Arabidopsis thaliana: one gene and its partners. The protein of the gene in region 2 interacts with the protein of the main gene of each other region in a pairwise test. Each region holds a gene or a part of one and is shown on either strand. Other genes may lie near its edges. The genes, in order: AT4G38690, AT1G05640, AT1G07860 and AT4G30500.

The links.
Region 1: the proteins of AT1G05640 (region 2) and AT4G38690 interact in a protein complementation assay, tested with the Arabidopsis thaliana proteins (one large-scale study listed by BioGRID).
Region 3: the proteins of AT1G05640 (region 2) and AT1G07860 interact in a protein complementation assay, tested with the Arabidopsis thaliana proteins (one large-scale study listed by BioGRID).
Region 4: the proteins of AT1G05640 (region 2) and AT4G30500 interact in a protein complementation assay, tested with the Arabidopsis thaliana proteins (one large-scale study listed by BioGRID).

The regions. Positions count from the first base shown.
Region 1 is NC_003075.7:18,073,139-18,079,008, forward strand, and holds AT4G38690 (PLC-like phosphodiesterases superfamily protein), read right to left. Parts: upstream 2,820-5,870; 5' UTR 2,562-2,819; coding exon 1,605-2,561; 3' UTR 1,182-1,604; downstream 1-1,181. Other genes in the region: AT4G38700 (Disease resistance-responsive (dirigent-like protein) family protein), read right to left, coding at 3,445-4,017; AT4G38710 (glycine-rich protein), read right to left, coding at 5,003-5,213, 5,409-5,447, 5,717-5,870.
Region 2 is NC_003070.9:1,685,527-1,692,393, forward strand, and holds AT1G05640 (Ankyrin repeat family protein), read right to left. Parts: upstream 4,430-6,867; 5' UTR 3,976-4,429; coding exon 3,372-3,975; intron 3,273-3,371; coding exon 2,863-3,272; intron 2,780-2,862; coding exon 1,910-2,779; downstream 1-1,909. Other genes in the region: 5PTASE13 (Endonuclease/exonuclease/phosphatase family protein), read left to right, coding at 1-101, 188-455, 601-724, 822-1,182, 1,265-1,627; AT1G05650 (Pectin lyase-like superfamily protein), read right to left, coding at 4,738-4,965, 5,076-5,304, 5,453-5,742, 6,163-6,600.
Region 3 is NC_003070.9:2,427,626-2,432,466, reverse strand, and holds AT1G07860 (Serine/Threonine-kinase RLCKVII protein), read left to right. Parts: upstream 1-3,035; coding exon 3,036-3,201; intron 3,202-3,241; exon of another isoform or gene 3,242-3,283; coding exon 3,284-3,525; 3' UTR 3,526-3,556; downstream 3,557-4,841. Other genes in the region: AT1G07870 (Protein kinase superfamily protein), read left to right, coding at 624-765, 1,124-1,362, 1,460-1,649, 1,755-2,146, 2,226-2,524, 3,089-3,201, 3,284-3,525; AT1G07850 (transferring glycosyl group transferase (DUF604)), read right to left, coding at 3,748-3,867, 4,029-4,574, 4,688-4,841.
Region 4 is NC_003075.7:14,899,446-14,905,508, reverse strand, and holds AT4G30500 (transmembrane protein (DUF788)), read right to left. Parts: upstream 2,159-6,063; 5' UTR 1,952-2,158; coding exon 1,868-1,951; intron 1,669-1,867; coding exon 1,475-1,668; intron 1,198-1,474; coding exon 1,113-1,197; intron 1,007-1,112; coding exon 941-1,006; intron 838-940; coding exon 745-837; 3' UTR 501-744; downstream 1-500. Other genes in the region: ATG18B (autophagy 18 B-like protein), read left to right, coding at 84-210; AT4G30490 (AFG1-like ATPase family protein), read left to right, coding at 3,626-3,875, 3,959-4,038, 4,150-4,250, 4,345-4,467, 4,544-4,613, 4,715-4,801, 4,897-4,962, 5,045-5,137 and 5 more.

The DNA of each region.
Region 1 (5,870 bases), on a different chromosome or scaffold from region 2:
CGAATTGTATATTCGAGCGTGATATTAAAATAAAAAATCTCGCGATTAAGATACCCAGAAAATTAAAAAAACATAAATTTCGTTGATTTCGAAAATGAATCTGCAACTAAAATATTAAAAGAAAGAAAAGTAAGTTAAAAAAGAAAAGAGGAGTTAGAAAATGGGCCAGCATGTGATAAGGCTTAAATTGATTAATCCATTTCGGGAAAGAGAATGGATCATTGGCCCAGCAAGCAGTTGCATCTGGACGGTTGGGGTGTTTTTCACGAGGGATATCAGCCGTCAGATTCTGATTTTAGATCTGAAAAGCTAGCTCTCTGGGGAATAGAGAAACAAAGATCAATTAATTTATTTTTATTTTTTTACTTTGTATGTTGTATTTTATTTTTTGTTGCAGTCAACAACAACATTAAAGAATGACATGCAACGTCAGCAACTGGTCAATATACTCTTTTCAAAATTTTCTCAATCTTGTGGTCAAAATAAGCATTAACTGTTGTTCCACTTTCCACGTACATTTTATGAGGCAGATTCACAAATTTTACCAAACAGTATGATAATTGTATGAAGTAATTTGAGAAGACTATTGACCGCAAAGAGATTGTCCTTTGTTGGATATCGATTTTTGAGTATCGATTACAAAACTAAATTACCAAGTAATTAATTTATAAGAGAAATAGAAAATGAGTAAAATTTAAAAATTATTGAGAGATAGAAAATAGATCCCTTTAAATTTAGCTTATAATTCGAAAAATGTGCATGTTTTTATCTTAATCACTTACCGTGAGAAAGTATAGGAGTAAAATGATGTTATCGTAAAGTGCCAAACAACAAATCAAACTTGTGCTTAGCAAAAAAAAAAAAAAAAAAAAAACTGGTATCATTTGAGAACATGACTTAAAACGCAGCCGTTTAAATAAAAAAAGTTGGTTTCTCTGCATCCCATGTCTAGAGTCTAGAAGAGTGGTCTCGCTGCCGATCTCAGCAGGGAGAATAATTTGGCTCGGCTCAATCACTCTTGTGGATCAAATGCTCTTCTTCTTCTTCTTTTGTGTTTCAAGTCTTGAGAAGAAATCTAATCTCAAATTATTAGGATTTTGCACCATGTTTCCATCATCTCAGTTTATAGATATAATCAAATAATGAAATTATAGAGATGCATTGTGTCATTAGCTACTGATATGAATTCTAGCATAACTGATTCTATTATCTTTTTGTTCTTGAAGATCACAGTAGTGTGTAATAAAAAGGGGCATTGCTGCAGAAATATAGTCATCTCTCAGGTTAGCAGCTCTCTTTCACTTGTTAAAACTAGATTTTACCATCAACTGTATACTTCTTCCTTCTGTTTTGCCTGTCTATCAACTACAACATCTGCAAAAGTATCAGAAATTAATAGTAATGAAGAGTTTGGATATCTCGCAATTGTATCAGGATTCAAATAAGTTGTAATGAATTGGAATATACACTCGTAAATCACACACACATACAAATACACACTCACATGTTCTCTTATACACAAGCAACCCTAAAACACATCAACCATGTTCTGATTCTTTTCCTTCAAAATAGATACACAAAGTCTGTCTCCACACGCTCATTCCTCAGGCCTTACCTTCAGCTCTCGCAAAGGTGAGCCCAACGCAAGCATCAACAAATTCATTATCTATGAAATCAGTTGAGAATATCTGCAGTTTATCAGCACATCCTCTTTTTACACACTCTATGATGAATACCTTGGCGTAGCAATGTATCCTCTTAGTCACCGGTTTTACACACATTATTGGGTTATCGGGCTGCGGCGTCACTGTGTTCTCCACCCGGTAAAAGAATTTCCTTGAAGTAGCTGGTTGCTGCTGGCTCAAATGCTTGATGTTGCTCTCGAATTTGGTCGATGGAAGATCTGTATCGATCCAATTGTCTTTAAGGTAACCAGCGCTCCAAAGAGGATCACCATGCTTAGGCTGAGGCGATTTCCTCGGTTTCCAAACGCAGATCACTCTCTTGGGAAGCAGCTCAGCGACTGTCTTGGAGAACACGTGATCGTCCTGGTGAATCAGATGCTCTCCAAGCTGTTCCACAAGATACTTATCAAACTCCGGTGGGTCTTCGTGTCCAAACTCTGTTCTGATCTCAAGAATGACAATCTCCGACTCTGTTTCGGATAGAAACCGTTTGAGATCGGCCAAGACAACGTCGACACTATAAGTCTTGAGGATACCGTGGCATACACGGCGATCTTCTTGGACACGAATGTCAAGGACTCGAGTACCCGCCACGAGCTGGTTATAGATGGAGAGAGATTGGCACTTAGCAAAGGGACGAGACACGAATCGGATACCGATTTTGTTGGTGGCAGAGTCGTGCGTCCCAGGCCAGACGATCTTGTTGATGTGAAGCTTTTCAGGTCCAACGCCGGCCATCCAGTTTTTACGATCGGAAGGCATGTAATCACACCCCGGAAACTCGCAGCCGCACGATTTCTCGAGATCGGTGAGGGCTTTCTTCTCCGTGGAGATGGCTTTTCGCCGCTCGAGTTGTTTGGAAAGGTGAGAGCCCATTGCTGAGGATTAACCCTTTCCCTTTGCTCTCTCTTCTCTGATCACTATATTGAATTCTGTTCTCTCTTGTTTATAAAATGTTCCATGCCTTCTTTATCAATAAACCTTTACTCATAAGTCGTTATGATTGTTTTTTATTTACTTATTATTGGTTTGAAGAAGTTACGAATTATACGTTAATCTTTTAATAATTACGCTACTTTCTCAAAACACCGTTGACATATTCGCAAATTAGAAGTAACTTTCAACTTTTAACTTAACAAAAACCATAGAAAAAAAGTAGTAGCGTTTAATATGTAAGATTAACTGTTACAATTTTTATTGTGGGAACATTTTAGTGTTATAAATGTGAACTGATTGATTAGTTGAGATATATTGAAAGAGTGGTTGAGTTGTAATTGATGGGAGAGTGGGTTTACAATGTATGGTAGGTCCATTTTTGTTGTATAGCTGTCTTCACTGTTTGTTATTTGTCAATTTCTAATGCCTGGCTATTTTCCGACGTGAAAGATATCAATACAACGTGATTTTTATTTCTTGGAAGACACATATTCAAATTTTCTATGAAATAAAAGTCGTTCCTAAAATTTAAACAAGGCATCGATAATTAATATTTTGGATAAAATTCGGATAGGATCCGATGGAAAACCAATCATATACACTCACAGGCCCTATCATGTCTTTTGTAAGACTATCTCAAATATCACGATCCACACAACTAAGATATGTAAAAGAGATTACTAGTATAGATTTTGGGAATTGAGAAGAAAGATTGCAACATAATTAATCAATTTTGATCTCTTGATCATGCAAAATTCAGTTTTGATCTGAATAATTGATTTAGTTGGCCTTTTTATTGTTTTAATCGGAACATATGAATCGGTTAATAATGATAAACAGTAGCATCATATCGGAGAACAGCATCACCAGTCTTCATGTCAATCTTATTTGTTTTTACTTTGACAAAACCTCTCGCCATTCTGAATTTCCCACGGCCACCAACAATCGCGATTTCTCGCTCTCCGACCTCTTCCGCCACCGGATTCCTCGAGAAGATACTGATCGAGCTTCCATTAAACTTCCCTGCCGTGAAAGCCAAATCAGCGTACATGACGATCGTGAATTTGCTCAAGTCTTTGCACCCGGAGACATACATCCCTTGACCATTCCCGATCTCTTTCGAGTGTTTCTCCGGCCCGACGGTGAGCGGATCGTCTATCACAAACAGGCTTCCAAAACCTACCGGCGAAGCTGAGCCACCGGTTAGATTTGCATGTGCGATTCTAACGGCGGTAGGATTTTGGCCACTGAGAGTATCATGGAGATAAAATCTGACACGTGTCACTTTCTCCTCATTCAGTTTAGCCGGTTTGGTGTTGCCATAGTAGGATTCGTGACGCGCCATAACGGCCATGCTCAAACAGAGTGTGAAAAATATTATTAATGTGCTCTTCATAATTTATAAACTTAAGGAATTGATATGAAAGTTTACTATCCAAATGAATCTAGAACATATATATATATATATAGTTTGATCACTTGTAATTTTAGGAATGTTTACAGGAAAAAGATTTTCTCCTATAAAAAGAGGGTATATGTCATTATTTAGAAAATCTATTTGATATTTTTCTATATAACAAAAAGAAAATAGTAAATGCATATGATCCAGGTATTAACTTTGAAAATTTTCTGTCTGATATTGATGATATGTTCAAAATTGTAATAGTGTTTGACAACTTTGAAAACATGTAAAGAGATTTAATTATTTTAGAAAATTATGATTCTAAAAAGCTTTGAGATTCTGCCAAATAACTAGCATAAACTTTATTCGAGGTAAGGATATGTACCACGCGCACCTTAGGAGCGTTGAGCGCGTGTTATCAAAATGGGTAAGCTATATAGTCCAGCCAAAATGCCTATTTTTGATCAATTTTAATATATTCCCAGCTCTAAAGCGCGTGGTATTATCATATTCCCCGTCCCACTACATTCTGTGTGTTTGTACAGGTTGGATTTATTCCTCACCACATATATCTTAAGTGGACTGCACCGATCAAGAAGATTATAGAATACGGGCCAGATCTGATACTGGGTCGGGTTAAGTTGGGCCAATTGGGCTCTTAATAACAAACATCACTCTCTCTACGCACCATTGATCACTGATCAACTAAACGCTCCCAAATTCAAAGACAGATTTAAACCAATAATGAAATTGTACAACTCGTAAAAAATAAAAGACACCCCAAAACCCTAAAAATTGCAACAGAGTATGTGGTAAAAAAAAGAGACAGAGAGATATTATAAAAAAAAAGACCCTACCAAAATTTTCTCTAGAGTTCCCCCACACAACTTAACTTATCCAAATTAAACAACACAAATTCTCAGAAGCTAAACTTCAAGAACCCAAACTATCACAATCCACAAAAATGCCTTTTGACTCTTTAGATTTTGTCCTCCGTCTCTTCCTTCTTTGCCTCTTCTACAGCCGGTTCGCCACCAGTCTCTTCCTTCTTAGCCTCTTCTACAGCCTGTTCACCCTCAGTTTCTTCCTTCTTAGCCTCTTCTACAGCCGGTTTGTCCTCAGTCTCTTCCTTCTTTGCCCCTTCTACAGCTGGTTCCTCCTCTTGAGCATCCTCCTCAGAATGCTCCGTGCTTCAATGTTCAAAGACAAAATAATTTAAGAGTAAGAAACATGCTTACAAAATTTACAACTTCCCACAATACTCAACAACACTAACTAAAAAACCCATTACCATCACGCAGAAAGAGAAAAACAGAGCTCTCTAAACATGGGATGCCAGATCAAAAAAACAAAACAGAAAGAGAGATCCAATCTTTCAGCTTCACTTCAAGACATCAACTTCCATGTATGAATGTAGAGAAAAACTAATAACACCAAATTTAACATATTAACTACTATACTAATGCAGTGATCCATAACACATGAATGATCATCCAAAATCTCACTGTTTATAGCATATATATGAATCCCTATCTCCCACAATATACACAATTTCTTAGACCCATGTCAATAATTTCCACAGACAGTAAGAGATCAATACTTTGCCCGACTAAGATGGTATAATCAGAAAACAAGCAGGCAAACTAAAGAAACGAATCAACCAAGTTTTATTATAGTCAAAGAAGATATATACCTTTTCCTCCAACTTCTTTCAATACGTTCCTCGTCTTTACGGCCATTGCCAAGACCAAAGCCCATCTTCCCTGTAGATTTCTCATTAGGCTTCTCCATGGCTGCAGCAATGTCCTTAAGCTTTTCAGCCTCGAGCTTCTCGTCAATCTCTTTCC
Region 2 (6,867 bases):
CCACATATTTATTTTGGCTGCTTTATTCTTCTGGTTTGCCATGGGCCCTCTCTCTTGCAGCTGGTGTCTCAACTTCAGCTTATACAACAAAGAGTAACACTGTATGTTCTTATCATATCACCTTTACTCCTGAGTTTATGTTGTTTGCTCCTTAAATTTGTATTTAACATGTTTCTCTGTTTTCCAGATTCCAAGCACCGGCGCTGAAGAAATCAAGTCTGATCTTGCAGCAGCAGACATGGTCGCATTTTTTGGCGATTTCAACTATAGACTGTTTGGTATAACCTATGATGAAGCAAGGGACTTCATTTCACAGCGATCCTTCGATTGGCTCAGAGAAAGAGACCAACTTAGAGCAGAGATGAAGGTTGGAAAAGTCTTCCAAGGAATGCGCGAGGCATTAATCACTTTCCCTCCCACTTACAAATTTGAAAGGAATCGCTCAGGCCTTGGAGGTAAAAGTGGATTTGATACATAAGATATGAATTTGAAAAAATTGAAGCAGTTTTGCTCTGCTCTGTTCTCTGCATTTTTTCCTCTGTTTTGTAAGAGATGGTGGCTCCAAAAAAACTGAATCTTTCTGTGCTGTGTACTCTCCAGGATATGATTCAGGGGAGAAAAAGCGAATTCCTGCGTGGTGTGACCGAGTTATATATAGAGACACTCAATCTAGCCCATTCTCTGAGAGCAATTTGCAATGCCCTGTAGTTTCATCAGTCATAATGTATGGTTTCATGACGACCTTTCTGATGTTTCTCGCTTTTTCCGGTCTCTTCAATGTGTTTTCTCCATTCTAACTTCCCACCTGCGTGTTTCAACAGGTATGAAGCTTGCATGGATGTTACTGAGAGCGATCACAAACCCGTGCGCTGCAAATTTCATGCGACAATAGCTCATGTTGATAAATCTGTGCGGAGACAGGAACTGGGGAAAATAATAAGGTCTAATGAGAAGATTTTATCCATATTCGAAGATTTAAGATTTGTTCCAGAAACTTCTGTGAGCACCAACAACATTGTTCTTCAGAGTCAGGACACAGTCATCCTAACAATCACAAACAATTCACCCACGAGCCAAGCCATATTTAACATTCTGTGCGGTGGCCAGGCTGTAGTTAAGGATGACGGAGAAGATGCTGACTACAATCCACGAGGCTCCTTTGGTCTACCACGCTGGCTCGAGGTATTAAATTCTCTTTTGACGCCAAATGAAGATTCTTGTAGTATTCAAGATTTAGTGATATACAAGAATTTTTTTCTTTTAGGTTTCTCCCGCAGCAGGGATAATAAATCCAGAAGGATCCGTAGACGTTAAAGTTCATCACGAAGATTTTTACTCAATGGAGGAATATGTTGATGGCATCCCACAGAATTGGTGGTGCGAAGACACTCGAGATAAAGAAGCAATCCTGATGGTGAACATTCGAGGAAGCTGCTCAACAACATTGAGAAGCCACTCTGTCAAAGTCCGTCACTGCTTCTCAGCCAGAGTATGTCTCCTTGAGAACAGACCCACGAACCTAACAAAGAACTTAGGTGGTTCACGTCGTTACCCAACAGATATTACCCGTAATGGAAGCACTAGACCAAGAACTGAAGACTCGGTTAGACGAGGTAAAAGCCGGTGATGAGCTCTTGTGACTTTGACAGTTTTAACTAGATCTTAGAGCAGAAGAACAACAAAGTCATCACAAGACAAATGCATCAGGTGAAGAATCGCTTTTATTCATTCGTTGATTCTTTAGAAAATTCATTTTGTGTCAGAAATTGTAGATTTGCTTTGAGACTGTTCCTCAGGTAGCATGTATTCAACTTTTGTATCTCCTCACTTGAATCTAAACTACAGGTACGTGACCCATGTATACATTTGTTACTCTTACACTAAATTGCCTGTTCTGGAGATTTTAGTCTCAGAGTGCATACATTCTCTTGTTGAATTCGCCGTTGAGAATCTCTGACTCTGAAGGCATATGAGATAGTGAGAAAGATTTCGATTTGCTTCTCTCTTTCCTTAAGCTTTTCAGTTTAGATTCCTCGATCCTATGCATGACCACACAGTAACACATTGCACCTATCGTGGTTAGCATAATCGTCCCGCCAATAATCGTTGCACAAATCGCCAGCCAAATGTCCTCCTTACCCACAACGATAAACGAAAGAGAAACAAAGGCTACGGATATGAACAAACAAGCCAACCACATGAGCTTGTTGATCACAAACACAAGATTCTTCTTTGCCTTCTGCTCAATCACCACAACTGAAGTCTGCACCACAACAACAGCCAAAGATATGAACAGCGCCAAGCTGTCAAATATGAAGAAGACTAAAAACGGGGCTTTGCCGGCTATGCGGGCTTCTCCTAATAACAACAGTCCCTTTGTTCTGTCTTCTTCATATTGCCCAGGAATGGTGAAGATTGCTGCAAATGCAACTGTTGCAATTAGGACAGCCACAACGGTTGCAGAGTTTATAGCGTTGTTTAAACCATTGATGTGAAGCTTCTTCAGTCTCTTTGCGATTCTCCGCACCCTAACACCCGTTTGGCGAGACTGTTGGAGCTGAGACTGTACCTCGTGTTTAATGTCACTGACCGTTTGGTTAAGTTGCTTAGCCGGGTTTCGAGGCTTCCCAAGATCTTTAGCTGTTGCAGCTCCTGCTTCCTTCAGAACCGACACAAGCTCTGGATTTCCAATCTTTTCGGCTATATCAAGTGCAGTATCTCCAGCCTTATTCATAGCATTAAGGTTAATTCCATCAAATGATACCAAACATCTCACTATCTGCAAGCAAAGGCAAAATGCAGTTCATCAGAATTCTTGTAGATTGAGAAACTGAGGGGAGGGGGAATTAGCGATGATGATACCTTAATACGGCCTTTGTTTGTGGCAGTGTGCAACGGCGTATTCCCTTTACTATCCTCAACACTCAAAATCGCAGGATCAGGTTTCACCAACTCAAGAACAATCCCTTCGTTCTGACCTTTGACAGCCATGTGAAGCGCTGTTTGTCCCTTCTTATCAGTTCTAAACCCGATGCTTGCATCATTACCTATCAAAGACTTAACCACTTCTCTGTGCCCCATTCGCGCTGCAGAATGAAGTGCGGTTTTACCATTGTTCTTAGCTATCTTAGCTAAATGAGAATCCGTCTTTAAAAGAAGATTCACCACATCAGTGTGTCCTTGTGAAGCAGCCGTGTGCAATGCAGTTGTACACGATAGATCCACCGTCATAGCCAGATTCGGAAATGTCTCCAACAATTTCTTCAATGCCTCTGCAAAAGACAGCACACATTCAAAGATATATGTCAAGAAGGTGTACAACAATAACAAGGTCTTCAAGTTATTATCAGATTCTCTAAAGTTTCATTTACCAATATGGCCTTGTTTTGCAGCGACATGGAAAGGATCAAAACCGTTGCGAGCTTTAACTGATGCAGTATCAAGATCCATATGTTTCAACATCTCTTCAACAACTAATGAATGCCCATTTTCTGCTGCACTATAAAGAGGGGTCTCTCCTTCTAGATTCTGCTTTGATGACAACTCCTTCAACTCTTCAATGCCGTTACAAGCTCGAATCAATTCCATAACCTTTCCCAAATTCCCCGTTCGAGCTGCGAGATGAAGAGGAGAATCTCCTCTTTTACCAGGTGAGTCAGTCTTCTTCTTCCTCTCACCACCAACATTCATGAAACTTAACTGTCTCTCCATTACTACCCTAAAGCTTTTCTGCTTCTCAACAAACCCACGAAAGCTTCTCTGCCTCTCCATTGCCCTCTCCTGTTTCTCCATTGCTCTTCCTTTGATTCCATGTTTCTCAACAACATTCACAGCTAGGAAACTAACTTGCTTGTCCAAAGCTCTTCCCTTTCTCACCTGATTCTCTGCACCAACGCATCTGAGACTCTGCTGTTCCTCCACAGAGTTACCTCGAACGCTCTCTTGCTTCTCCATAACAGGAACCAGAGAACTCATGGTATGCTTCTCCCTTAGATTACACAAAGATCTTGAATAACAACTTTTTCTCCCAAATCTGAAAGATGCCAACTTTGTTTGAAGAATCCGTGAGCTCTTTTCCAGCAACCCGTGTTTCGTAATAACAGAACCAGCTTGAAAATGGAAAACCCTGACTTCCCTGTGATTTCCAGATTTCTTGTAAAGATTCAAACCGATGTGATGAAAGAAGAGAGAGAAAAAAAAAAAAGGTTGCAGCTGATTTCAGTAGAGTGTAGCTGAAACCCAATAGATTGATTTGTAAATCTCAATGCTTTTTGTGGGCAAATCATGTAAGATTCTCAGGATATAGAGATAGAGAGAGAGACTGTGATGAGTGACTGCATCTTCAGCTGTTTTCTTTATTAATTTCGCTAAACTTCCAAAATCTTTAGTAATATTAGTGATTACTTTTTCTTTTGAGTTTTGAAGCAACAAATTCTTAATTACTATGTCAATTATCTCCAGTTTAAAACTTTATATCCAGTTAAAGCTTCTTTTCTCTAATTTCTTTATATTTTTGTTGTCCAAATCAAAGACCAAAAAGCAAAAGCACAATGTGATGGTGACAACAAGTCAAAGTCTTCCACTTTGTTGGTTACTGAAAATAATATTTTATTAATAAAAAAAAAAAAATTGTATGTTACAGAAATTGGTGATCATATACCTTGTTACAGAAAACTATTTGAAAAATCAGTTTCCTAATAACATTTCACAGTGATATCATCTTAACCCCAAATAAATTCATCGATTTAGACAACTAGTAGGTTGAATAACACCAAGATTTTTCCCAACAGCATTGAAGCACAAGGAAGTAGCAGGAGTTCCTTTGTTGTAAGTAAGCTTTATGTCTTGTAATGTGATTCCCGTGCATGGATTGCTCTTGCTACACACCAGCTTCATTGCTTCCTGCGTCGCCGAAGTTCCTTGTATGTTCTTGTACGTCACTTGGGTTATCTTCACCCCCGAATGCTAATACATACCATAAACATAATAAATCTTTAGTTATTTGACTAAGTTGATAATTTGATATAGCATATTTGATTAGTCTGAAATTGATCAAAAATATGATATGGATATACCTCAGTAGGGCAACCTTGGTTGGACGGACAATAGTTTTGGTCGATTATGATAGGGTTTTGGACGTTCCTCATGATTAGATTTTGAAAGAAGACGTTTCTAACGAATCCGGTACTCGGCCTCGCCCATGACTTTATCCTCACGCCGTTTTGTGATCCGGTGAATACCGAACTCGATACTGTCACGTTCTCTACTCCGTCTTCGTTTAACTGCTTTGCCAAACTCCCGATGCTGCCAGTCATCACATCATCATATGAGTTGTGACCAGAGTGAGTGAAGGCAATATTGCTAGTTTTTTTTTTGTTGGAAATTCATGATTCCTAACAATTAATGATATATTTACATAATTTACTCTAAGGAATTAGACGGTGGTGTATACCTAACCCCGTGACCTGGGCCACAAGCAAGCTTGGAAATTAGGAAGTTGCGGGTCCCCTGACCGATAGCAACACAATCGTCTCCGGTCTGAACGGTGCTTCCGGTTAATGTGACTCCAGTGGAGAACTGAACGGTGAAGCCGTCAGTGTTTGGGCTGTCTCCGGGAGCCACCAGCCTAATGTTACGGACGGCCACATTGGTGCAACCGTTGAGGGTCATATGGCTAACCTGGCTGTTCATCGATTTCACTCCACTTATGATCACGTCTTTTGCGGAGTTGAACGATATTGACTACAGTAATTAATATATAAACGCCATAGATTAATAATAAGATTATAAATATTTCATTTTATTTTGACCAAAGAATCCATTTCCTTGTCCAAAAATCATTATCATAATAGTTATTATATGCTTATAAAATAAATTCCTAAAAATGGCATGGATAGATCATATTGAAAATTAAATGTGCCTGAATTAATATAGTTGAAAACTATCAACTAATTCCTTTTTTTTTTTAATCGTAAGTAAATGATTGGAATAAAGATATGTTATTTGACTATTAAAAAAAATATATTGACTTATTTAGTTATTACTAATCAATAATGATTAAAGCTATTTGTTGCTCTTTTGCATTCTGGTGGCGCTTATGTATGAATGTCAGATTGTTGTTTTTATTTACAATAACTATAGATAGAGGAGAAGCATATGTACCCTAACACCGGGAGGACAATTCTGGCCAGATTTCCGGCAAGACCAGAACCCACTACCTCGAGCGTCAAAAGTCCCACCGACCAGTGAGAATCTGTTAACCTTGTTGAAGAGAATCCAGGAACCGGAATTGCCAAAGGTCCTATAATCTTCCGGAGCAACGACGGTTCCGGTCACTTGAAATGTGATTTTGCTCTTGCATGGCCCTCCAAACGTTATTACCTTCAACAAAAATGTCCCCGTGGGGACCACCACCGTGGCTGATGCTGCCGAGCCACAAGCCCCTTGCCATGCCTTTAGGAATGCTGCTGTGGAATCGGTGACTCCGTCTGGTTTGGCCCCGAAGCTCACGACGTTGAAAACAATGGAGGCGCTGCTCGAGACATCGATGAAGGTGAGAAGTGTGAAGATAAGTGGAAATGTTATAGCTGATTTTGTCATTTTTTATATGTGAGTTTGAGTTTATGTTTGTGTTTGTGTTTGTGTTTGTGTTTGAATTGATTTGATTTGATGCATGGGTATATATAGGGAGAGAGAGCATAATTATTTTGGTTCGTTATTGGAGTCTATGGTACAATTAAGTACATGTGATATCTATATGATAAGAGGTTGTGAATATTTTATGATTGATAAAAGAGTTTACATTTCCAATCATTAGGTGCACACATGGTTGATATCGTACTTTTAGGAGCAACGGTCGTTGTATGA
Region 3 (4,841 bases), 740 kb from region 2:
AGCTAATAAAATTTTTAAGACTAATACTGAAAATTGACAAACTAGAAAGATGTTTGGCAGTATGAAAATAATTTTATCAAGAAGTGACATAATCTTTAATCACTCAAATCCATTGCTCCATTAACGCCACGTCAGATCGACGGTGCTTGTTTCCGAACCAACGGACGGTAGATGACAAATTAAAAAGTTGACCATGCTCAAGTGTTTCGTGCCATTACGTGGCGTCTTCTGATACGTTTGTCTTCAACACTAGCCGTACGTTTCTGTTCTCCTCAGGAAGAAACATTTGTCTAGACGTGGCTGGTTTTAATTAGACGCGCTATATGTAATGTACCGTGAACCTTGTCGTAGACGATAACTATACGTTTCTCTCTGAAACAAAGAAAATTAAACAACTTTTTTTGATTACGCGATATAAAAAAAGGCGAAGAAATTAAGCTTTCTCTGTTTGTCACTAAGCTCTCTCTCTCTCCTTCTTCTTCGACTTTTTTTTTTCTTCCTCTCTTCTCTTTGGTTTTTTGGTGTTGGGTTTTATCTGGGTTCCTGATTTCTTCAACGAGGAAGGAAGGAAGAAGAAGAGAAAAGGGACAAGCGAGAATTACTCTTTTCTCCTTCAATTTCCGATGGGTTGTTTCGGATGCAGTAAGAAATCGAGCAAACGATCCGAGACTAACAAAGATACTGTCATAAATAGAAAAATTGTCGGTGGTACTACGAGCGTTGCTAAGAGTGATAAGCGAGACGATCAGACTCAGCCCAGTTCAGGTATCGAGTGATTTTGACTAATTTCGTTATTCTCTCTTCTCCACAAGCTCTCTTTTGGATTTGTTGATTTTTTTTTATCGGATACTTATGTTTAGGTTTTTCTGTATCTGTTACATTTGGGAGAGACATTTAATGGAGATTTTTTGTGATTTTTCCCCGGAGAATTTTGATGCATGTGTACTATTCACCATATAAACGATGTTGGGTTTTTGAAATCGAGCTAGTTTTTTTTGGTTTTGTCTCCTCCATGAGGGGACAAAGTGTCAAAATTGAGCCTTTGGTATCTTGCCGTGTCTGTTTTTGGTTAAGTCACATGATAACTGGTAATCGATTTTGTTACTCGTTCCATGTGTTGTAGATTCAACAAAAGTCAGTCCATATAGAGATGTAAACAATGAAGGAGGAGTTGGTAAGGAAGATCAGTTATCTTTGGATGTGAAGGGTTTGAATCTAAATGACCAAGTCACAGGGAAGAAAGCACAGACTTTTACTTTTCAAGAACTTGCAGAAGCTACGGGAAACTTTAGATCGGATTGTTTTCTTGGTGAAGGAGGTTTCGGAAAAGTTTTCAAGGGAACTATAGAGAAATTGGATCAGGTACTTGTGACAAAGAAAAATCCTATCTGTTTTTATCAATTGGCTGTGAGATTTGTCATAGTTTTGAACGGTTGGTGAAACTTGGTTCTGCTGCTAGGTTGTTGCAATCAAGCAACTTGATCGTAATGGGGTTCAAGGAATCAGGGAATTTGTGGTTGAGGTATTGACTCTAAGTCTTGCTGACCATCCGAATCTTGTGAAGCTTATTGGGTTTTGTGCTGAGGGTGATCAGAGACTACTGGTGTACGAGTATATGCCGCAAGGATCCCTTGAAGATCATCTACATGGTATGTTGTAAGATCAAATTCCTATCCTTTGCCTCTGTATTGTTTGTCTCGCAGCTACCCCCTTTTCTCATCTAACTTTTACATTGTTGTTTTGACTGTTTCAAGTTCTCCCTTCTGGTAAAAAGCCTCTTGACTGGAACACCCGGATGAAAATAGCAGCTGGTGCAGCAAGAGGTTTAGAGTATCTGCATGACAGAATGACGCCCCCTGTGATTTACCGAGATCTTAAATGTTCGAATATTTTGCTTGGTGAAGACTATCAACCGAAACTATCTGACTTTGGGTTGGCTAAAGTAGGACCAAGCGGGGATAAAACCCATGTCTCGACAAGGGTTATGGGAACGTACGGATACTGTGCTCCTGACTACGCTATGACGGGTCAGCTCACATTTAAATCCGATATATACAGTTTTGGAGTAGTCCTTCTCGAGCTTATCACCGGAAGGAAAGCGATTGACAATACAAAAACGCGTAAAGATCAGAATTTGGTTGGATGGGTATGTTTTGTCTCTTGGCTGTGACTCATAATAATCTTTACTGAAACAAGACTCATATTTTCACGGTGCTTTTTAACAGGCACGACCATTGTTCAAAGACAGGAGGAACTTCCCAAAAATGGTTGATCCATTGCTTCAGGGACAATACCCAGTTAGAGGACTGTACCAAGCACTAGCAATATCAGCAATGTGCGTTCAAGAGCAGCCTACCATGAGACCAGTGGTATCTGATGTAGTATTGGCTCTCAACTTCTTAGCCTCTTCTAAATATGATCCGAATAGCCCTAGCAGCAGCAGCGGGAAGAACCCTTCTTTTCACAGAGACAGAGATGATGAAGAGAAAAGACCACACCTCGTCAAGGAAACTGAATGTGAAGGGTCCTCATAGGATATCCAATAAGAGAGTGGTAAAAAATCAAATCTAATTTTGGCTTCACCAAGAAATTGGGGAAAAATATAAAACCAACTCAGGTACATTTTTAACATCTATTGTGGATGTAAATCTTGACTCGGCTTCTTTGTATGTAGAATGTTTCTGTTCTGTAGAAAAGGAAAAAAAAAAAAAACCATTTTGTTTTGGGACATATATACATATATTGAACAAAAACAAATATCGTTGGTCATATATATATTTTCCCGATCAAAAAGTCTGGTAAATTAGGATTAAGTAATGTCTAAAAATTCATAATGATGAATGGCAAAAGTCGTAAATATGTAATAGAAATAGGACTATGATCACGTGATGCAACTTATCCCGCGTGAACCCGTTAAGATTTTTGCCGTTAAATAACCAAAACCTAATCCAAGAAGGCTTCACAAATCTCTTCTCTCTTATCTCTCTCTACTGGTTTTGTGATTCTTGGAAGAGAAGCTACAAGATAAGACAACAATGGCGGAAAGATCATTCTCTCAGCTCCCGATCTCTTCTTCTCACATTGGCAGAAGGACAGGAAACACCCGGAGAGGGATATTTCCGGTATCGGAGTATTGGATCCATGCAATTCCGGTGATCGTTTTTCTCTGTTTCTTCACCCTCTGGATTTTCTCCCACTCAGGTTCCTTATTTCTCCGATTCTTTAATCTAAGAAAAGATTTTCCCGAGAAAATGAGTCTTTCTGATTTTGGTTTTGGTTACAGTGAGCGTCATGAACGATGGAGAGATAATGTCGATACATCGTCTTGAGAAATCCATGGCCGTGAGAAACGAGTCTCATGTCAGTTTAGCGATTCTTGCTTCCTCTGCTGTTTCACCAGCCTCCTCAGCTCTCGTCGCCGTCGTCTCTACCAATCAGAATCTCACAACTTTTCACAACGCAACTCAATCGCAGCAAAATGCAACCCAGTCGGTGAACAAAGCAAAACAGCCACACGCAGTCTAATCTCTGAACGGAGAAAAGTTTCTTTCAGTTTCTTACTGATTTCTTTCATGAACAGATAACTTTCAGGGATTGAATTTTTCTTTTCTTTGTATTTGCTTCAGTTGAAACAATAGTTTTTGATTTAGGATTGAGAATTGTTTGTGAACGACGATACACAGAATGTTTTCAACAAATTGCATAGTCATTTGAAGAAATCTTTAGTGAGTATATATCTGAATCTTGTTAATGCTGCTGAGGATGTTCAAGCTCACTGATCTCTCCATCTGCGCAATTTCCGACCCAAATATACATCGTTTGGTTTCTCCTACTCGGCAATACTCTGCAACAATCCCTCCTCGGTGACTGCACCAAACACACAATTTTAACATCATGTTATTTCAACACCGGTTTATTATATGATCTCAGCCGGTTATCTCTGTCAATTCACTAGCCAAAACCAAACCGGTATGACTATATTTGATGCAAGTTGTTAATAATGAAGCAAAGAGAAGATGTGGACCAACCTTGTGCCATCGGAGGGGATCAGGTCGCTTGAGAACGACGACTGAATCGATCTTTCCAGGCGAATCGAGCCTCCATCGGCACCCGGGAATCCGCCTTGTCTTGTCCAAGTTGTAGTATCCAATCACTTGGCGACGTCCTTCATCATACTTAGCCGAGTTTAAGTAAAACACAAATGGTCTTTGGCACGGATGCCTCGACACTGGTCTCGTGTTAAACGCGTAACCAATGTAGTCGGCTTTGCGGAACCAGTTGAGGAATGTTCTTGAAGGCATCTCAAGTTCGCGAGGGGATATGATGCCTCGGATTATCTGGACTACGAAACCCCATGAGACCGAGATGGACCAGAACCGGTTCTGGTCGTAGCAGATGGACTGCTGGAATATGCTGGCTGGGTCAAGAACTGCTGAAGACATCAAGTGTCGTAGTGCACGTGACCGCTTCATCTTTGGGAATATCGGCTGCACCACATCGATGTGGTGCAGCGACACCAAGGGAGCCACTGGGTGTGCACCTAATAACCCCAATAAGTCCCCATAAACATCGTACTGCATACATAGAAACATTAAAATTAGACGTATTCAATCCAGATAAACCGTTCTAATCCGAACCGAAACCAAACCGAAGTAATTAAACATCGAGGAAACGTAGAAAATGACACCTGGTGAAAGCCAGGTTCTTTGGTGAGGGGTACACCAAGTTCAGTCATACAAGCTTGGATGCGATCATCACTGCCGTAGAGACCAGGATACCGTTGGATGCAACGGTCCTGCATCCGCAAGAGCTCGAGGGCTAGAGCATAGCTGATGGCGAAC
Region 4 (6,063 bases), on a different chromosome or scaffold from region 2:
GTAAGATTTTAGGATATCTTCATTTTGAAACCATGGTTACATGACAAGTTTTGATAATCTTTTACCTTTCACGTTCTTTTCAGAGCAACGGTATCGGTGATCACTTATAACGGATATTTCCAGGAGTATACGCTAAGTATCAATAACAAGAATGAGTCTCTATGGACACTGGAACGTGAATTCAATCTCTTCTCCATAACCACCGGGTGATGTATACAACCAAATATCAAATATATGAAAGTACTGGGCAACTTTTTTGTATGTAACAATTTTTGTACCTTGGGTTCATTAAGAATATGTTTATAGTCTCATGTTCTTTGGTTATTCGCAAATATAATTAGCTCTTCCGTGCTATTACTGTATCTTAATCTTGATTTGTGTTGAAGAAATGAAATACAAAATGGTTTCCCAACTCTTTCCATCATATCCCACTTACTCCATAGTTACAGTCAAGGCTCTTTAGCTATGAATCAGAATTTTCAAGTCAGGATCATTTGTCGGTCTAATGGCTCACAAGTCATAACATCATCATAATCCAAAGAGCAAAAGTCTTTTATCTTATGAGAATTCACTGTATCCTACTCAAGACTATTAGTCTACTTCATCTTAACACATCCATTAAGTCAAAATAGTGTAAAGACAGGTACATTACAAAGTCAAGAGTATTTACCCATTGATTTGCATTTTGTATGTTTGAAGAAAGATTTGCTAATTGTGTTTGCTAAAGATGAATGTTTAAGACATTCATCGAGATCTTGTCTTAACGACTTGTCCTCTAGAAGCTTTTCTCTCCATCTTCTCCCTCTTTTTGCGAGTCTTCTCATCCTCAACACCTCCCTAAGTTCAGTCATATAGACAAAACACAGTCCATTTTAAATGATCATGTTTTATTTCCCCCTTGTTCAAAGCACTTTGAGAGTATTCAAGACAAAGTGATTACCTCTGAACCATGTGACAATAGTCCCTTAATAAGACCAGAAGCTTTGTATGCTCCAAATGCAGGGATCTAAAATAAAAACAAGCAAAAGTAAATGGTTGCATCATTCCTACAGAGCAAATCTGTTGTTTGCCTTAAAATATGGCAATAAAGAAAATTGAGATGGGTATCATACCACTAAATACGCGTACCAAAACTTTCCAGAGATGATAGATCCGACCTGCACAAAGCAGGTGATGTAGAGTACATCATGCAAATATCTGCAAGGAAGAATAGAGCATCAGGCTTATACTATAGAATCTACCATAAATCCAATCCACCATAAAGATGACGATTATGTAGCAACTGATAAACGATAAAACTCGGAGAAAGCCACAACTAGTAAAACATCACTCATTTCAAACAACTGATAATGAAACAGTCCTCCTACTATTGCTTTTGGTTATGGAAACAGAATCCAACTATACAGAAACACTTGAGACAAAAGCAGGCACTTTCTAGTTGATCAATTTAAAAGACAAATCTTTCCGAACGTACCCACACATTCCAGGAGTGCTCATGTCAAATCCACCATCAAGAAGTTCACCAGCATCACTAACACTAGGCTTTGCCATTTGATGAAGAAGCTTATATGGAATCCCGTAACCTAACGATGTTAACACAAGACCAATCCAATTTTTCCAGGTATGACTTGAATGCGAAATTATAACCCTCACTAGGACATACAAAATCTGCAAACACATATTGCCAAAAACATCAATCCTCGAATTCATCGAAACAAAATCAGCTAAACATTGAAACTTTCGAGACCTAAAGATCAAATTCAACGGATTTTTAGTTCCATATTGATACAAGTAACGTATCTAAACAAATCTAAGCTCAACGGATTAATGTATTGAGAATTTAAGAAATGAGGAACGAGGAAGTTACGTTGCAAAGGATCATAATGAGACGGAGCTTAGCCATGTGTCGAGCGTTCTCATCTTTCCTCTTCTTTGCTCCTTGATTCGCCATGAGTTAAAAGAGAATGATCAAAGAGACGAGGAAGATAGTTTTTTCAGTTTCTGTAATTCTTCTTTTGCTTTGGATCTTCACAAATGGTGTGAGAGAAAACTTTTAGGTGTCTAAGCTTGTTTAATCCAATTATATATTGACACCTGTACCTTTTTGTCGTCCTCTTTTCTCAAATACTTTTTTCACGCAGGAAATGTTTTGTTTGGCTGCGTGTCGTAATTACGCTTTTCCTTGGGTTTAGGACAAAGATTCTTAATTTGGGCTTTCGTCTATCCTTATCAGTTGTTGTTGGAAAACTGAAACAGTTCTATCTAAATGGGCCAGAACAACCTAAAAGGCCCATAAAATCTGACATCTTAAGGCCTATCAACAGAAAACTGCATTATTTCAGTTTTCCAATAACAAGGTCTGTGTGAAAATCACCGGCGCTCGGAGAAGACATCAACATAAAACCTTTTACCGCTGTTCCAAAAACTAAAAAGTATACCATTTCTATGATCAATCGGTAAAACGATATTTATAACGGAACAAGAACAAAAGTAGTGTAAATTTTTTTCCCTGTTTTATGTTGTTCTATAGACAAAAAAAAATGAAGATATCATATCTTGTGGGCCTATATCCAATATTTGAGTGTAGCCCATATTTGGATCAAACATCACGTCTTACACAATGGTTCTCGGATATCCCAATCTGAGTATGGTTTTAGGTCAATTCAACATAGTATTATTTTGTCAACAAGCACCATTATAGCAAAAACAAAGATGTATCAAAGAAAAGTAGCGTTAGGGGTTGGTCAGAAAAAGACATGTTTGCAGTGTAAGAAATGACGTGGACACGTGGAATCATACGCAATGCAACATGTCATCATTAAGGTCCATTGTTCAACTTACCCATTGAGAACAAAACTAGAAAAATTATAGACCGTTGGATCATCTTTAAGGACCATGTCTGATTCACGTATCTCTCTCCCACTTGGAATATGCTTAGCCTATGTATGGGACACATTCGCTAGGTCCACCAGTATCCTGTACGCAAACGCAACATCGAGAAGCTTCCGTTTCCAATATTCTATACTATAATTACAAATGTTAAAAATTGTTTATAAAATTTGTAATTTGACTTGTAGACATCATTAGGGTAAAGATATATCAAGAAATTACTTTTTTCATAGGAATAAAAATAGTCAACTCTCTTAAATAAGGGACAAATACAATCCTCTAATGACCTGGAAAACAACTATGCAATCAACATTAACAAATGTAATTAGAAGTACAACACAATCAATTTTGGTTAAAAAATTGAAAGTATATAAAAATAAAAAAATAAAAAACGTGTCTTAGTTGATAAATAACTCATTAATCACGCCTCTATCTCTCTGTTTTAAGAGTTTAACAGTTAAAGATCTTCTTCTCTATCTTCCTTATTTGACTACATCTCCGTTTATTCTTGGGTCTCTCTCTATCTCTCTTATCCAGATTTATCATCGTCATTACATATAAACATCAAACTTAACTTTTCAATATTCTCATTCACTTTTTCCTCTTGTGCTCTAATTCTTATCCGGATCCGATTTCTCTCATACAAAGATTCTGTTTTTCTTCTTGGGTTATTGTTCTTGCTCTGTTTCCGTATCTCAAAGTTTCAGCTGCTGAATTGAATTTGCATTGATCGTAGATGAGACCAATCATTAGGTTATCATCTCTCAGTAGAATTAGATGGGCTCTAAGGAACAATCAAGAACGTTATTCTTCAACTTTCTACTCCAAAAGCCGCAAACTTTTGATCGGTGTCAATCAAAATCAAGCTCTGCTGAATACAAACACTGATAATTCAAGTTTGTATTCAAGGTCAAGTATCTTTAGAGGCTTATCAGCAGAAGCAGTAGAAGCAGCTGATCCTGCTACTACTAGGGTCACCGTCTCAGGTTTTGTTTCTCTTTGCAAAGAAATTCTATCAATCTCAGAGTTCGTGTTTATTGGTTTGCTGATATTTGTTGAATGATGACAGATGTGAATAGAACAGGTCCTCTTGTTGAGTATGAGAGAAGAATCAGTAATGGTGAACTCATGACTGGTGATATCTGCCAAGTATGATAAAAATAATAGCCACTCTTTTTTACTTCATTGAAGCTTTTGAGCTATAAGATTAAATGTGATTCGTGTTACTTGCGGCTTAAGGTTGTGTTTGAAATGTTGTAGATTAGTGCATTGAGAGAGCTTCAGAGACTATATGATGAGCTTGTGGATTCAGTAGATACATGTCGTTTAGATCGGTATAATACTTCTGATAAATCCTCAAGGTGATTGTTCTGTTCTCTTAGCCTTGACACCTTTCCTTCTCTGTTTAGGATTGAGAACTTGAGTCTCACACAACTGTGTTTTTGTGTAATACAGAAGTCGTTGGTTTTGGTCTCGGCTCATGCCACAGACTTCTTACTCACCCGTCAAAGGATTATACCTTTATGGAGGTGTAGGTACAGGAAAAACCATGTTGATGGACTTATTCTTTGATCAACTGTAAGTTTGTATGATCAAATTCTTATCCTTTTTTTTCGAGCATTGCGGTTTCATGACAATTCTCTTGTTTCATTAGGCCTTGTACTTGGAAGAAGCAGAGGATACATTTCCATGATTTCATGTTGAGTGTTCATAGCCGCTTGCAAGTATGGATAATTGAGTTTCCATTGTTTCTCTATTGATTTTAGTAGGAAAAGCTTTAGCCTTTTGAGATACGTTGTTTGATTTCGGTTCATAATGTTTGCAGAAGCACAAGGGTTTATCAGATCCACTTGAAGTTGTTGCCCAAGAGATAGCTCATGATGCAATCTTACTATGTCTAGATGAGTTCATGGTATGTACACTATTTCATATATTTATTTTCTTGAAAGTGATCATCTTTGGATCAACACATCTTGATTTTTTCGGCTACTGTTTCTGTTATTATAGGTAACTGATGTTGCAGATGCTCTAATACTAAACCGACTCTTTGGACATCTGTTTAGCAATGGTGTTGTAAGTGTCATCTTTACTTACATTATGCTGCTACAATCATCTTAAAACTGACTTTTGTCCATGCTTGCTATATAAAATATAGATTCTTGTTGCTACATCGAATCGGAATCCTGATAAACTCTATGAAGGAGGACTCCAAAGAGATCTGTTCCTACCTTTCATTTCTTCATTGAAGGTAGTCTAATCTACTATCATTAGTCCACTTTCAGTACCTTTTTAATTCAAAGACTGCATCAAGATTTCCATTTTCGCAGGAACGAAGTGTGGTTCATGAGATCGGTTCAGCGGTTGATTACCGGAAACTAACTTCGGTATTGCTCTTAATCCCATTAAAAACTCCCTAGACTGGCTTCAAGGTAGAGCTGAGTTCAATAACTGGGACACTTCTTCATTTTTGCAGGCTGAGCAAGGATTCTACTTCATTGGTAAAGATCTTTCGACCCTTTTGAAACAGAAGTTCCGACAATTGATTGGAGACAATGTTGTTGCCCGTCCACAGGTAGTAGAAGTGGTGATGGGAAGAAAATTACAGGTACAGTTTATTATACCAATCTCTGTGTAACTCCAACAACACTTGTGTTGTCTGTATATAAGTTCTTCATCAGACCAAATGCTGCTTCATGAACAGATTCCATTAGGTGCCAATGGATGTGCATACTTTCCTTTTGAAGAGCTATGTGACCGACCTCTTGGAGCTGCGGATTACTTCGGTTTGTTCAGTAAGATACTTTACTTTGTCTCTCTCTCATCTGCAAATCTTGTCTCTAAACAGTGCTTCTTCTTCTTCTTGATGTTGCAGAGAAGTTTCATACTCTTGCCTTGGACGAAATTCCAGTGTTTGGGCTTCATAACCGTACTGCTGCATATAGATTCGTCACGCTAGTCGATGTATGCAATTCCTGGTTCTTGTTTTGTTCTTATAAGATGGCACTACCAAACCATTTCATCAAAATCTGATAATGATGGTTTAAGAATTGCAGGTAATGTATGAGAACAGAGCGAGGTTGTTGTGTACAGCTGAAGCAAATCCTCAAGAACTTTTGGAAAAGATTATAACAATCTCAGAGGCGAAATCGATGGGTCCAAGAACATCATCAAGAT